Drosophila melanogaster: one gene and its partners. The protein of the gene in region 3 interacts with the protein of the main gene of each other region in a biochemical or structural test. Each region holds a gene or a part of one and is shown on either strand. Other genes may lie near its edges.

Evidence for each region. The genes of interacting proteins can lie anywhere in the genome.
Region 1: of the proteins of imd (region 3) and Tak1, one has a biochemical effect on the other in vitro, tested with the Drosophila melanogaster proteins (one study listed by BioGRID).
Region 2: of the proteins of imd (region 3) and Dredd, one has a biochemical effect on the other in vitro, tested with the Drosophila melanogaster proteins (one study listed by BioGRID).

Annotation. Positions count from the first base shown.
Region 1 is NC_004354.4:20,521,898-20,526,911, forward strand, and holds the start of Tak1 (TGF-beta activated kinase 1), read right to left. Parts: upstream 3,032-5,014; 5' UTR 2,071-3,031; coding exon 2,002-2,070; intron 1,462-2,001; coding exon 1,162-1,461; intron 924-1,161; coding exon 608-923; intron 549-607; coding exon 367-548; intron 145-366; coding exon 1-144. UniProt on the Drosophila melanogaster protein: Component of a protein kinase signal transduction cascade. Mediator of TGF-beta signal transduction. Responsible for activation of the JNK MAPK pathway (basket, bsk and hemipterous, hep) in response to LPS.
Region 2 is NC_004354.4:633,091-637,491, forward strand, and holds Dredd (death related ced-3/Nedd2-like caspase), read right to left. Parts: upstream 2,456-4,401; 5' UTR 2,394-2,455; coding exon 2,304-2,393; intron 2,219-2,303; exon of another isoform or gene 2,200-2,218; coding exon 1,456-2,199; coding exon of another isoform or gene 1,435-1,455; exon of another isoform or gene 1,398-1,434; coding exon 1,035-1,397; intron 967-1,034; coding exon 812-966; intron 749-811; coding exon 616-748; 3' UTR 532-615; downstream 1-531. Other genes in the region: Mybbp1A (MYB binding protein 1a), read left to right, coding at 1-378. UniProt on the Drosophila melanogaster protein: Effector of the programmed cell death (PCD) activators rpr, grim and hid. May play an apoptotic role in the germline as well as soma. Fadd interacts with Dredd to promote cleavage of Dredd and is necessary and sufficient for enhancing Dredd-induced apoptosis.
Region 3 is NT_033778.4:18,409,256-18,415,242, forward strand, and holds imd (immune deficiency), read right to left. Parts: upstream 4,345-5,987; 5' UTR 4,201-4,344; intron 4,175-4,200; exon of another isoform or gene 4,071-4,174; intron 3,823-4,070; exon of another isoform or gene 3,593-3,822; intron 3,102-3,592; exon of another isoform or gene 2,772-3,101; intron 2,332-2,771; 5' UTR 2,156-2,331; coding exon 1,496-2,155; intron 1,079-1,495; coding exon 917-1,078; 3' UTR 541-916; downstream 1-540. Other genes in the region: GstE9 (glutathione S transferase E9), read left to right, coding at 1-501.

The sequences.
Region 1 (5,014 bases), on a different chromosome or scaffold from region 3:
TTTTGATATTGCTATCGCGTTCACATTGGCGTTGGCCGCCGTTGTCGGTGTTAACTGTGTGGACGAGGGGCTCAGTTCCCCCTCCTGCGAACTGAGGCTATCCGGTTGAGCGGCCACCGTGCCGTCGCTCTCTTTGGTGACAATCTGCGAGCAGTTCAAGGATCAAGAGTTAGCAATGTGTGGCAAAGGAAAATAACGCAAAAGTGATGTTATCCGTATAGGGTAATGATTGCATTTAGTGCCAAACAATATCGAATTTAAATTAGGTTTTAAAGACGGGCAGAGTAAAAGAACGCTTTCCTCAATAGATAAAAACACCAATTGACTCTTTTACAATTGTGTATTGACCCAATAAAGCTGTCTCACCTGTTGATTAACAAACGTGTATTCCAGGGCCTTGTCCGCCCCCGTATAGTCCTTGACGATCTCGTGCATAACGCCCACTATGTACTGCATCGACGGGCGATCCTCGGGCACCGTTTTCCAGCAGGCGGTCATCAGGTCCTCGATGCGCTTGGGGCAAGTGGTCAGCAGCGGCGGGCGTTCACCTGCGAGGAGCACAGATCTCGATAAGCTCGATGGAAAAAGAGTGAATTGGAGGACGCACCCTTGTAGATCTTCCACTGGATGGTGTAGGCATTGTCGATGCCTTTAAAGGGCTGCTTCCTGGACAGAACCTCCCATAGAACAATGGCCCAGCTAAAAATGTCACACTTCTCCGTATACTTGGAGCCTTCGAAGACCTCGGGCGCCATCCAAGCGGCACTGCCGCGATTGTTGGTCATCATGGTCGACTTGTCCGCCACCGTGCCGAAGTCGCATATCTTCAGATTGCGTCCCTTGTTGGTCAAGAGCAGGTTCAGCGGCTTCACGTCGCGATGTATTAGTGGTTTTGGCGTCATGGCATGCAAATATGCCAGACCCTAGAGAGGAAAACAAATGGAAATGTAATTAGGGCTAAACTTTAAACAAATTACTATTATTTTAATTCTGGTTATGCGGAATAGCTATTGAAATTGTTTAAGTAATCATGCAAGCAATGTGAATTACCACAATCCATTTGAGTCATTATTTCACCAGATAATTTCAACGAATTGGATGGAAAGCGCTACGGGGTTGAGCCCTACGTTATAACCGCCCCGCCCCTCGACGACGACCTACCTCTGCACATTGGCGCGCCCAGCTCATGGCGTGGGCCAGAGAATATGCCGGCTTCACCTTGCCGTGAAGGAAGTTGTGCAGCGATCCACCTTCGGCGAACTCCATTATCAGGTAGGTGGCCTGCTGGTACGAGGATATCCCGTGCAGAGCGATGATGTTCGGGTGCTTCACGCGCGACAACTGCTTCACCTCCTTCTCGATGTCCTTCTGCTCGGCGCTGGCGAAGAACTCCTTGACGGCAACCAGCTTGTCGCGCCAAACGGCCTTGCAGACCACTCCGTAGGACCCATGGCCGACTTTCTGCGGGGAAAAAGATTATTAGATCTGATTCAACAGTTGTACCCTCCTTGTGCAAAACTCCTCAATACTAATTACGTTATACACCTTGGTCTAACACAGTTTGAATTGACTTCAAGTAGAACACACGAACGCATTGTGATGGGTAAATTTGAAATTCGTTTCTTATCAAACTGATAAGATCGTATCGTTAATAAATATGCTGATATTTGTATACAGTCTGTAGTTTGTTTTAATAAGTTTGAAACGAAATCCTAAAACGAATGTAAGCATTTAGGAATGCGTAAGTTTAAAATATAAAACCTTTCTTGGGTTTTTTAACAGAGCTGTTACAAAGCATACACTTTTAAAACGAAAAAATAACCGTTTATAGATTAAAACATGCTTTTTGAAAGTGCGATAATCGTCTGACTAACTAAGAATGAGTACTTGCTCTGCCCTAAATGGTATATGATTACTGGTTGTTTATCGTTTCAAGATTGCGTATACGTATACACCAATAGGAGCTCTAGACTTTGGGTATATTCCGTTTGGTATGCACACCTCTCTTAGTGTTATCTCACTGAAGTCCACATAGGCTGCCTGCAGTGCGTCCAGCGATGCTGTGGCCATCTCCGTGGAACGCTAAGTATCCTGGTGTTCTCTACTTGCTTTTCAGATGCAGCTTTTGTTTGTCAGTGTTTTGGCTTACAAATGAGTACTAGTTTACCAGTTGCAGTTGCATTTGGCGCCGCTGATTACCAGATTTAAAGTTCTCTTCAACTGTCCAAGTATGCCACCGATTCCTTGCCTTAAGGCTCTCTTCTATGGTGTCCAGGTGGTGCGCTATTTTGGTAGAATTACCGGGATTTCGCCTTTTTAGTGGCTACGATTCCGTGGGTTCCCGATTTCATTGCTGGCTAACTGTGCCTTTGGTTCCCTCTTGGGGACAGAGTTTTCGGAATCTTTGCAAGATCTAGACCTGGATTCATCATAAAGTTTCTTGCCTTTGTATAGATTGCGACTGACAACTTTTACCACGTCATTTTGCTAAGATATGGTGTGTTTCGCAGTTCCCAGGAGACTTCAGATGTTATCTAGATTCCTCAGCTGCAGGTTCCTGGACAAAGTGGTGCGTGATGCCAACCCTAGTGGATCGGTTTCCGTGCTCAGCCGATTTCCCAGACACCGCGGTCTCCGTGTCCTTTGTAGTCTGCCTGGTTCCACCACTCGTGCTACCGGTAGACTTCTCCAGGCGAAGATGATTGCTGTGCAGGACTGGGACTGGAACTGTGGGGTAGAATGAGCAGGCGGTTGACAGCAAGAAGGTGGCTAGAAGAGGGGGGCACGAGTTTATATCGACCAGCGGAGAGGGCCCAGTGCGCACATCACATCCTGGCCGGGATTCCTCCGGATTCCGGGCTCAATGCTTGAACAGATGGCGTCTGCATCGGACGCTGCCTTGGCGGGTTCTTGCGTTCTTCGCTGTAGATATACGCCGTACTTTTCAAGTACAAACTTGTTTTTTTTTTAATAATTTAACAAGACCGTCATCGATACATTAGTGCCAGATATCGGGCGCAAGGTACGTCGATATTTTTGCCTAGCACAGTGTGGACTCGCCGATAACGATAACATTGGTATTTGTATTTTTAATTCCAGCGACATCAATGGATCTATCCACTTAAAAGATACTTATTATTTGTGTGACATATTTTCAAAAATTAGGCATCAATTTAATTTTTACACCCGAGATACCAATACTCCCAATAAAAATAGTGATGCCATCTCGTCAGAGGAGCTGTGTCGCCCTCTGGCGCTTTGCATGCGTCTCGGGGTACCTATTACCTCCGATAGATGGCGCCAGTACATCCCATTTCGAGAGTTTTCAATCGTTGTTGTATTTTTAAAACGATAAGATAGATCTATTTAATTCTCTCTACCCGCCCATTTCCTCTGGCAACTCCAGTTGTTGTTAAGACATTTTGTAGTAAAAATCCACACGAATTTCAAAAATCCACCAACAAGTGCGAAGATGTACTTATATTGTGTAACGGCTTGTCACCTTTCTCAATGCATCATAAAAGTCCATCCTGTTTGCCCAGCTTTTTGTTCGTAATAATACACGGAATACACGCGTCTATAAGCTTTTCGACCTTGCTCTCTAGGTGTGGAATCCAAAACTGCTGTTGTATAGAATGTACGGTTTGTTCTGGTTTGCATAATGTCCGAATCCATGAGCTTCGTTTATAATCTTACGTTCGATTATTTTAGGTACAATAAGCAAATCATTTCCTTTGACAAACATGAATAAAACTCCTCCCTTCAGTTTAAGGTCATTGTAAGGTCGTTCTTCCAATATCGTGCGTATGAAATGACATTTCTTTCACTTTATACGTAAGCCGAACTTCGCTGATTCTAATAGCACCAACTTTAGTTTCTTAATACATTCGTCATTCGTCTGTCCATATATTATAATATCATCCATATAGAGTTGTAGAATGTCTCGGGAATATGTGGTTTATAAATCTTATAAATGCCGCAGTAGAATTGCAGGAAATCGACACAGGGAAGCAATCCTTGAGAACCATGCTGTTTAATTGGCGATAGTCCTATACAGATTCTGTAAGTGCCGTACTTTTTTCTTCACTACGACAGTTCTACTGGCGAAGCTTGAAGTAGATGGTCAATCGATTTCTTCTTTTAACCAGTCATCGACTTGTTTTTTAACGGCTTTGGCTTTAACTGGCGGATGTCGACTTGGTTGATGACGAAACGTCTTAATTTTCTCATCCGGCACAATTGGAGGTTGGATGATATTCGTCTATCAGCTTCCGTATCATAGGTGCAAATTGGGGAGGAGCATTCACATTACTTTCAGTGCAAACATAATCGTGAATACTTATCTGGTTAATGTTAGCTACCTCAGGCCAAGCTGATAACGACACAAAACGTAAACCCATTTACATCCAGTGTAAATTGAAACTTCGATAGAAAATCGTATCCAATGCACTTCCATCACCTTCCATTTTTTCATCCGCCACCACGATGAAGTTTTGAACAGTCTCCATATCGTCTATTTGAACATCTCCAGCGAAAACTCCCAGAGGCAACGTGGCCGCCTTGCCCAGGCCACGCAACAAAGAACGACATGGACTTAGCACAACATCTTTTTGCCTCATGTACACCGAGTACATCACAACCGTAACATCAGCACCCGTGTCAACCCAGCAAGCAACTTCAATACCATTTAGTATAATCCTTTACCAATTGCACCAATTTCCAACCAACTGACTGCGGGCAACTTGTTGATATATGCACATATATGCACACAGCACCACACTTAAAGCACTTCGTTCCAGCATTGCAATCTTTCTTCATGTGTTCAGACGATCCACAATTGAAGCAACGAGCCGTCTTTTTATTGTTGTTATAATGCTGTTGCTGAATTTAAATTAGATTTTAAATTAGTAGCGCATTTAATTTATGAGTAATTATTAAAGTCCCGCTCGCATTTCGCTGATATGAATATCTTGTTATGATCTTTTTTTAATATCTTTGCTTTTTCTTCGGTAGT
Region 2 (4,401 bases), on a different chromosome or scaffold from region 3:
GTTGCTCCGCTGGCCGTTGTCCTGGCCTCTCACTTGGACGTACAGAAAACACGCAGTTTTCGGCGGGCACAGATACTGAAGCTGCTCAGCGAGCAAGGTCGCCGGCTCGAAGTCGCTTTCAAGGACAACAACTCGTCTTCCAAGAAATTTGAGAAGCAGATAGCCAGATATGTAAATCAGCTAGAAACGAAGGCTAGCAGTTCCAAGGAACTCAATCTGCTGCTTAAGATCCTCGCCCAAGGAGGCGAGAAGTGGCAGAAACTGCGTGAACAAATTCAGCTCGTCGCCAAGGATCTTCAACCCAACAAGAAGGTGGCGAAGCAGAAGAAGCAGGCAGCCGCCAAACCTATGGTCGTGGAAGATGAAGAGTCCACATAACGTAAAAGAAGGAAACACCCCAATAAGAAACCTTACAATTAGATGTATAAATATCTTGCATAATATAGGATACTATTAATTTTTTTGTTCTTTAAAAAATTCTGACGAAAAGTACTAAATTAGTATTGAAGTCATTGAAAAAATAGCAAAAGTACACTAAACTTTATAAAAATGTATTTTTACCTTTATAGAGCAATTTGAGTGGACGTACAACTGCGCTAACGTTAAAAACCAAAATCACAGACGAGGTGGAAAGTACACGTGCTGGCGAAATGTGCTTTTAACATTCGGCACCATGGACTCGTCATTACTGCCTCGCTTTTTAGACACTTCGTTGGTGACAATCGTCAGGATATCGGCGATGTGTTCACTAAAGTAACAAAGAACAACTTATGCATTAATTCGGGGCTAGCTTGCTTTGGCAGCTTTTTACCTGGCGGAACGGCGATCGATGGCATCGCACAGGCTCCCGATAAACCAGCTACCTGTTTGGGTGTGGCGCAGAGCAGCATATCCATTTACCGTGGACATGGCCCGCAGCATGTCGATGTGCTGGTCCGGCGACACGGTGGTCACGTCTATCCTAAACTGAAAGAGGAATACGAAAATGTATAGGCTTTCCCATTCGACGACTTCATGCTTATAAATCTCCTTACGAGCTCATTTGGCTTCTTTTTATGGACAAGCTTCTCCTGGCAGGCTTGTATGATTAGCAACTTCGGTTTGTAGTACAGGGTGTCGTAGCTGCAGAGCAAGTCCTCGATATCCGTGATCTTCATGGCGATGCTGTTGGATGCGTAGACGGCCTCCTCGAAGCCGTGGCTCAGGATGAAGACCACTAGGGAATCGCGCACGAGCGATCTATCGCACGCACTGCGAATGCGCTCTATGATGCCCATGTGATCCACGTTGTCGTACGCCTCCACATTGTATCCCATCGAGGAAAACACCTCGATTAGTCGTTCTTTATCCACATCCGTGCCATCCCGTCTACGCAGTGGGTCGGGCGACAGAAATTTCTGTGGAGAAGGGCAATGTTGTACTTCTTTTTGTTACTCAATATTGCAGAGATGAAACCATATTATCCCTGCTAACATTCCGGTGAAACTTCTGCTGGTTGATAATCAAGGCGATTCCTGCGTTCTCCCGGGTCAACTTAAGAGCATCTATTTGTGTGGAACAGTACGACTGCTGGTTATCCGATTCAATCTCTTGCTTGACTGCCATCGCAGCAGTGCCAGCCGCATCTGGCTCCGGAGCGTTACTAATGATGGTGTCTTTGAGCAAATTTGCTTGCGCCTGCAGACCGTTGGACTTCAAATGGCCGACCAGCAGCTGAACATCGCTGCCTGCGGCATTTATGTCCCCTAACTTTATGCTCCTTCTGGTCAGCCAGTCCAGCAAAAAGATCTCCAGGTACGCGGGATCGTAGAAGCGAAGTGGATCTCCTGCCTGCTGGCTCTCCACCTTTTCGCGAACATCTAGGAGCAAGCGGCCACTCTGCACCAACGACAACTCCTCACACATCCTGTAGAGGCTCTTCAACAGAGGATGGACATGCAGCGTGATCCCAGCGATATGCGGCAAGTAGTGCATTCGCAGCTCCTGCCAGCAGAAACCCAGTCTCCGGAGCACCTTGCGGGCCCCAATAATGCACAGGGCCTCCACGAGATGTCTTCTCCAGGTTTCTGGCCGGGACTTGGCGAACTTTATGAGTAGATCACTTTGCGGGAAGTCTGATCGTGTCATGGCCAAAAGTTTCTGCAGAATGTAGGTGGCATCCGAGTGGTCGTCGCCATAAAGCAGAAAGCAGAGGCCCACCTAGAAGAAAACGAAGGTTCTACTGTTTAATTAACACTTTGGTCTAGCGGATGTGTAAAACATTTGAGTCATATTCGAAAAGTCCTCCCAGGGAGGTGCCATACCTTTTGGGCAAAGTTCATGTCACGTTCCACGTAGATCAGATCGTTCTGATCGATGGTGTCTAGATGAATCAACAGGTTTGATCCGGCCATGGCGATCGGGAATATACAAAAATGTTTCACTTTAGGAAATGGCCGATAAATTGCACTCGCTGACATCCGATAGCCGTGGCCTGAAGAGCTTCCACCGATCGATATCGATAAATGGATATGTTTTCTGCAATAGCGAAAGATCGGGGTGCTACCTATTAATTATACTTAAGAAACAGATGATGTAGTTTTTTGATATAGAAGTTTAACAACCGGTTCAACAATCGGTTAATATTTAAAAATGTCGCAGCCAGCGAGCCTTTAGCTTTAAAAGTAAGCTTGCGTTCACGGTTTTTGGGGAAATACCAAATATACTAGGTAAAAACATCGATTAACTAATATCATCCAACACGACGATATGTTCTTTGCGAAAAATATCGATGTACTGGTATTTTTATGTTTCCACACCTCTAGTTCGTTTAAGTCGATCTGTTGAACTGTTAACAACACAACTCCTGAATATTATGTTTTGGACGAAAAGTTTTATTAATTTAATGTTTTTGTATATTGTATTCTGTCCATGAGCGTAACAGAGACAGACAGAGAGAAAGGGACAGATACTGAGATACGGGGCCCTCAGGCAGAGAAAGAGGGCGAAAGCAAGCTACAAGCGGGTGCGAGCGAGAGCGCGCGCTTGCCTCACGCACATATATATAAATCTGTACATACATATAGTATCAGAAGAAAAAACTAAAGCCGCTATTCGATTTACGAAAACTGGCGAAAAATTCGACGATTTGTCTCGTACCTATCTATGTACCTCACAACCACTTCGTCATCAAATACGTATAAGTCAGATGTATGTCAAACATATATATACATATGCATGTATATACACATCTATGTGAGGCCACTGCTATATCCCATACATGTATGCCTCTATATATATGTATATATTTATCCACCTACTGTACCACTTCCACATTATGTAAGCAGCGACGCAAACAAAACACTAAAGCAGAAAATCCGAAAAGCAAAATGCGAAATGCAAAACAACGAACCAACAAAATCCCATCTATAAACCGAAAACCGAACAGCAATGTTATAACAAATACCGAAAAGTTGTTAATGTTCCACAAAAAAGCATAAAGCAGTCACGCTAAGAGAGTAAGATCGAACAAATGAAATGTTTGTATGGCATAAGTAGTTCCCAGATTTTTGTATGTACTTCAATGCATATGCATGTGTGCGTATGCATGTATGTATGTATGTTTCTCGGGGCCATGTCTCCCCACGCCCACGTACGTGGGTGCTAGAAAGGGACAGATGGTGCAAATTTTTTAAATTGCATACACTTGATTTTGGAACGCCAGCCAAACAAAAAGATAAATTGCGTGCTTTTCTTTTGCTGTTCGTATGTACGTACATATGCAAGTGGAAACTGCGCAGCAGGGAAGCCACACGCATGAACGCCTTCCATTTACAGAGCATTCAAACAAATCGTACCGAAAACCAAACAAAAACTTTCACCTCAAGTGTAACAATTATATTCAAATTCGCTTTGAAGTCGCTGTAAAATATATGTATGTATGTATAAACAAAGACAAAAACATTTTGCCTCGCAGTCGACACACACACGCGCACTCGCACTGCACGCCTCGGCTGTGTGTGTGTATGCCCTGCTTAGATCATGAGTGTGCGAGCGAGTCGACATGCTTGGCAATCGCGAGTCAGAACTAAACACGCGCTCTATATGCACGTGTGTGAGACGCATTGGATTTTGTTATTTTCATCAATCGCAATGATTCCGTCCATCAGCTACATCCAAATATATACACGCATCCGCGCCATATGTACAATGCTACGAGCATTTACATACACATGTACATATGCGCGTGTGGCTCATAACGGTTCACTCCGCTTACGCACAATAATAAAGGCAAACGCCTACGACTTCCCCATTGTTCCTAGGCTCAATGGAAAGCCACTCCGTTGCTTTCGACTTTCGCTTTTCGGATTCTGGAATTTGTTTCGCTGTCCAAAACTACGTATAACTGAATCTTTATGTTAA
Region 3 (5,987 bases):
CCCGTGCTGGAGGACGATGGCAAGTTCATCTGGGAGAGTCACGCCATTTGCGCTTATCTGGTTAGACGCTATGCCAAGAGTGATGACCTGTATCCCAAGGATTACTTCAAACGCGCACTCGTTGATCAGCGCCTGCACTTTGAGTCGGGTGTGTTATTCCAGGGCTGCATCCGGAACATAGCCATTCCGTTGTTCTACAAGAACATAACTGAGGTGCCGCGTTCCCAGATTGATGCCATCTACGAGGCCTATGACTTTCTGGAAGCGTTCATCGGTAATCAGGCTTACCTCTGCGGACCGGTCATAACCATCGCCGACTACAGTGTAGTTTCCTCGGTCTCCAGCCTAGTGGGATTGGCCGCTATCGATGCCAAGCGCTATCCCAAGTTAAACGGCTGGCTAGACAGAATGGCCGCACAGCCCAATTACCAGTCGCTCAATGGCAATGGGGCACAGATGTTGATCGACATGTTCAGTTCGAAGATCACAAAGATTGTGTAATTGTTTGCACTAGCTTAAAGGTTACAAACGCAACGTGTTCTGATTACGTAACAATAAAGCTTCTATTTGTATAAACTTTACAAAAATGCTTTTAAATACCAGCTCAATTAGCTGGTTTTTTTTTTCGACACAAGTATCACAACTTAAAGATTAAACTGCAGTAATAACAGTTAATGCAATTCTACGCACTTATTCGATAGGTTGGATTTATAAATCAAATATTGCACATATATCCCGTGTTCGTCTCTTCTCTCTACCACTCGATGTCTTCTGTCAAAGGCCGCTCTGAATTTAGCAAAAGTTGGTGGGTTAAACATTTCCAGTTTTCACCATCCGGCTGGCTTGGACATCAAGGGGCCACTTTGAATGCATCGTTTTCGTTCTGGAATCTTTGCTAGCAAGTTTCACTCACTGACTAGCTGTTTGTCTTGCGCTTCTCCAGTGCCTTCCAAACCAGTTTCATGCGCTGCACGCAGTCGCGATGCTGGGACTCCCACAGCAGTGTAGTAAGTCGTCCAACGGTGGCCACACCGTCCGCCGAGCTTCGAATCCACTGGAGCAACAGCTGGTATATCACCTATAGACGTAGACACAAAGCAAAGTGTTATTTTCTGATTTTATGATTGATTTTCTAACTCTTAAAAATCATTAAAATCTTCTGGTACTCTAACAACAGAGTTGTGACATTTATACACCATAACTTGCAATCTAATCAGACAAACAAGTGGAATCACTATCAGTATTATATAAAATAAATAGCTCACAATAATGTAAGCTAATTTATATTATTTTTTTTTTTAAGTTGAACAATCCATTCGTGTCAAGCAATGAAATCTAACAGAAATAGTGGTATTTGAGTCATTAAATTAGTCTGATGCGTCACAATCATCTTAGCATAGTCTGTTGTTTTACATACTAATTTGAGTTTGTATGTTCTGTTCTTGAATCAACATTCAACAACAAATAAGAGAAGTTTAAACTTCAGGGGCCTTACCTCTCTAATATTGCCATGCATTTGGTGATCGATTATGGCCTGGTCGATCTGTCCTTCCGACATGCCAAGATCCCGCATCACCTGCTTCCAGCCCTCGCCCAAGTGCGTGGAAACCACATCGAGCAGGCGCACATCCGGTTCCTCTTGTGACTGCATCATGGCCACAATGCTGACCGTTTTGCGCGTCGCACTTGCCCGCGGCTTACCGTCTGGAGAGGCGACCGACTCCTCTGCGGTACTGGTGCTACCCTTTCGCGAGCTGCAGGCGCTCAAGTTTTGGTTGAAGTTGTAGACGGAGCCGAAGTGCAGATTATTGGCATTCGAGAAGTTCATGACCACCTGTTGCTGGGCGCTGTGTACGTTCATGGTGTTGTTTGTCTGGACGTTACTGAGAGTGCCCGGAATATTGGCGGAATGCACCACATCCATTGAATTGTAGTTTGGGTCGCTGAGCTCGCGCAGCACGGATTCGGTCAGATCCGAGGAGGCTGTGGGCGTGCCAGCGGTGGAGGGCAGCGCCAGGGCTCCGCTGTTGTTGTTATCTGGTTCGTTGTCGTCCACGGGAGCTGCGTCCTTTTCCAGGCGTCCCTCGACGGGTGTCGGATTCTGTGCCTCCTTCCCGCCAAAGATTGTGGGCAACAGGTTCCTGAGCTTTGACATGCTGCTCGCTGATAACTGGTAGCTTTGAATGTGCTCTCGCTTCCGGAAATTCCACAGATTGGGGAGTTTTTTGCCTTTGTGTTTCTTTGCTCTTTTTCAATTTGGTGGTGGTAGGCCAAGGATGGACCTGACTATCGATATTCCGAGCCGATTATCAACCGATATTTCACTTACAACTAAAAATTTTTAGTTTTATTAAGAAATTCAACTAAATAGCATTTCTTGTCTTTTCCGTCTGATTGAAAAAATCAATTATATTTGACTAACATACAAAACTTAACATTTGAATTTTAATTCTTAATCATTATGTGCATATAAGGAAAAAATTTAAGCATTTATATCTAATCTTTATTAATTTGCATATAAGGAAACCCCCATAATAACGATTATCATCTTTAAAAACTGGTGTTTGTTGTCTAAGTTTTTTTTTAATATATTTTTTTTATTGTTACTATTGAATAATTCTTTAATTAATTTTTGAAAATCCCCAAAAGAAGGCCATGGTAATAGACCCAATAGTCGATAGTTCGATTTGACAGTTCGCGCTTGCGATTGGTAAGAGCGACAACCCTGCACCCGCTGCGGCGTATCGCCCATCTCTATTTGCCACGTTCGCTCATGTTCATTCACATTTTACTTGGAGTCGGTAACGTTGAGTTCCGCGTCCGTGCGTTCTGCCTTCCAATAGAAAGTCTGGGTGTGAATTTACCAAGATTCCAGTGCGAAAATCAACTCACATTGCTCGGTGATCCGTGCGGCGGTATAATTGCAGCCGGAATTGCATAAGTTGCGGCGAGCGAAAGAGAGTGCACGGATTTACAGTTATAAAGGGCCGGCAGCGGTGGGGCGGCGACGGCAGAGCAAGCAGAAGAAGAAGAGACGGCAGTGGCGAATTAAAAAAAACGATGAAAGAAAATTCGGGCCGCTAATTTTTCTTCAAATTTGTGTGCGGTCGGCGAAAAACAACGTGTTTTTCAATGGTTGATAATACACACGGACGGCGCACTCGCGCTCACCCACACAGTCACAAAAGTCGGCGACGTCGACGACCCACACGCTCACATAGGGACGTAAAATCCCGTGCATACGTGTGAGCGTGCATATATAAGCATATTTGTCCGATTGGAAGGCGCGCGTGCTGCCTTTTATTTTTTTTTACTTTAATTTTCCTATTTTTCGAGAGGGGGAGGCAGAGTTAAGGCCCCGCCCCGTGCCGGAAAAGAGGATCCACACAACCTTTCACCTGGAAAGCATACGGCACTGATTTCCGCATTTCCATACTCTCACACACACACACAGACGCACACAAACACGCCCACGCGCTGCTCCAATTTTGCCTCCGCTGCTGCCACAAAAACAATTGTCCAATAAGTGGCCCGCATATGCTGCCCCCCTCCCCTTCCTTCACCGTGCTCTCTGCAACAACGCGCTCTCTGCGACAAATAACATTAGACTTTCTATTGGGGATGTGCATAACGCAGAATGACTGACTAAATGATTTGTAGGGCATTCATCCTGGTGATGCCACGATCCGATCTTCTGCATCCGCTAATTGCATTAATTTTAAGCAATTGTTTTTCGGCTTTTCCAGCAGACACCCAAGTTATCAAACTGGATTTGGTCAAAGGAGAGTAAACTCGGCCGGATTTTTTGGATTTTACAGTACCGTAAGTTGAACAACCTTTGCCTAGAGTTAATTTGCATAGTTTAACATTTTACACAAGTGTTTTGCCAAAAAAAAGACAACAAATGTCGTCCAAGTTAACGGTTTCATGCCTAAAACTGACTACGTCAAGCTTTTCTTTTTTTGGTCTTTGGGATCTTTGTATCGAAATTACAGAAACAAGAATCCATCCGATATGTGCATACCAATTTTGTATATATGTTTTTTTTTTTTTTGGTTTTTTGTTTAAAGCTGAACTTTAGCGCATTGTTATTGTGCTTTGTCTTCATTTGTCGACGTCAGCGTCGCTGCAGGCGTCACATACGAACGTATGAACGATGGTATTTGCTATGTAGGTATGTTGCTTGTTTTCGTTTTTTACCTGTGCCTTCTCGAAAGGTGGCAACACACACACACAACCGTATTCCCGAAGAAGAAAAAGAGCGACACAGAAATGTGCAGGCACACAGGCACAGCACACTCACATGCATACAATACACCACTGGCACTGCTCGATCGTTTTGTTGTAGTTGCCGGCTATCATCCGGTTTTATATGGAGCTGCTCCCCTGCTCCGTTAAGTTACTTCGTCAAGCTCTCGCTCTCTCCTCTCCCTGTTCCTGTCGCTCTCGTGCTCTTGTCTCTGTATTTGACACATTTTTCATGAGCACAAACAGATTCGTCGTTAGGTGATTATTTTTTTGGGAAATTAATTCTGAAATGAAAAACTATTATTAAATGTTAGGGATAATGATCTGGTGTCACTTGCAGTTGTCATTGTTATCTGTAATATATAAATGTATTAAGCTTTCATTGAAATTTACAAAACCGTATGATTTAAAAGTAAGAGGCCCCCTTTACACATACCCTGCCACCGCCGCTGTCCGCACATACAAAGACACAACTAACAGAGAGGAGACAGACATATCTTTGTTGTTCTTTCGGTAGAGAGGAAAATGTAGGCTACGAAAACTCGTTGGGCATGGATTTAGAAAACAGCTTTGGTCGAACAAGTGCATGGTCTCTGCTGCTCCTCGGCTGAGATCTCTCTTTCTCATTCGCGAGGCCCCAACCTTTCACCCAATCGAAATCCGACTGATAGCAGCCTAAATTTCGGAAAGCGCACTTGTAGCATTGTGTGTTTGTGTGTGTACGTACCACAATATCTTGGTGGCAATCGGACGACTGAGCTTATCAGCCAGAACGGCCGATAGTTATCACTCAGCCCCGGAATCTGCCTGCGTGGCCCATCGGCCGCGTCCACTTATCACCACCGAAAAGCGGAGAGTTGTGTCGAGCACTCATCTCGCAGATCCAAGCACTACGTGGCCTTAGTTTCAGGCTGTGGTGCAGAAAGCTCGTTTGAAAAGAGACTATTTCGGTTTATCAACGCCAGAAAATCCATTTCATGCACCCCCTTTGGACACGCACTGTTTACAGTGGGGCATGCAACATGGTTTCCCGGAATGATTCTGCATTCAGTCGAAGGAAACTTTACGAATATAAGCTACAGAGGTGAATTCAATGAATAATTTATGATCTAATTTAATAGATATTTTATTAAATGTAGTATTGGATGTTATTGGAAATTTCTTCCATTCACAAATTAAGAAGAAATGGAAAACAGCAAACAAAAAATTGCAAACTTTTGACGTTTTTATAAGAAAGCAATAGTAACGCAACTTGTTAGATTTCCTGTACATAAGTCACGCCGCATATCCAATGAATTATCTTTGTACTAATTTGTTTACTGTAGCCAAGCGGTCCTAAAGTGTGTATGTACTTATGTAGTTCCTTATCAGTTGGTCGCAGCCAAATGCGGGTCCTCGGAGGTCGCACTTATCAACTATCTGCGATTTTGGTAAGTCTGCGGGCGACTGACAACAGAAACAGATGAAAACTGTAGCTAAACGGGCCTATTTTAATCCATGTTTGCCAAAATAAGAATGCCATTTAACTATTTGTTCTTTGATTGATCGACCAGCACTTCGATAATCCCCTAGAAATTTTTCCTTCCTGGTTGTTTGCTTTATCGCTGGCTGATAAACAAGGTTCATTTATAGGGTCCAGTATGATGTAAACGTTTTAATGCACTTGATAAGATATCTTCTACTTTTCAATTTCAGTGTACTGTAAACGACTTGGAACGAAAAAGGACTTTTCTCTTTTT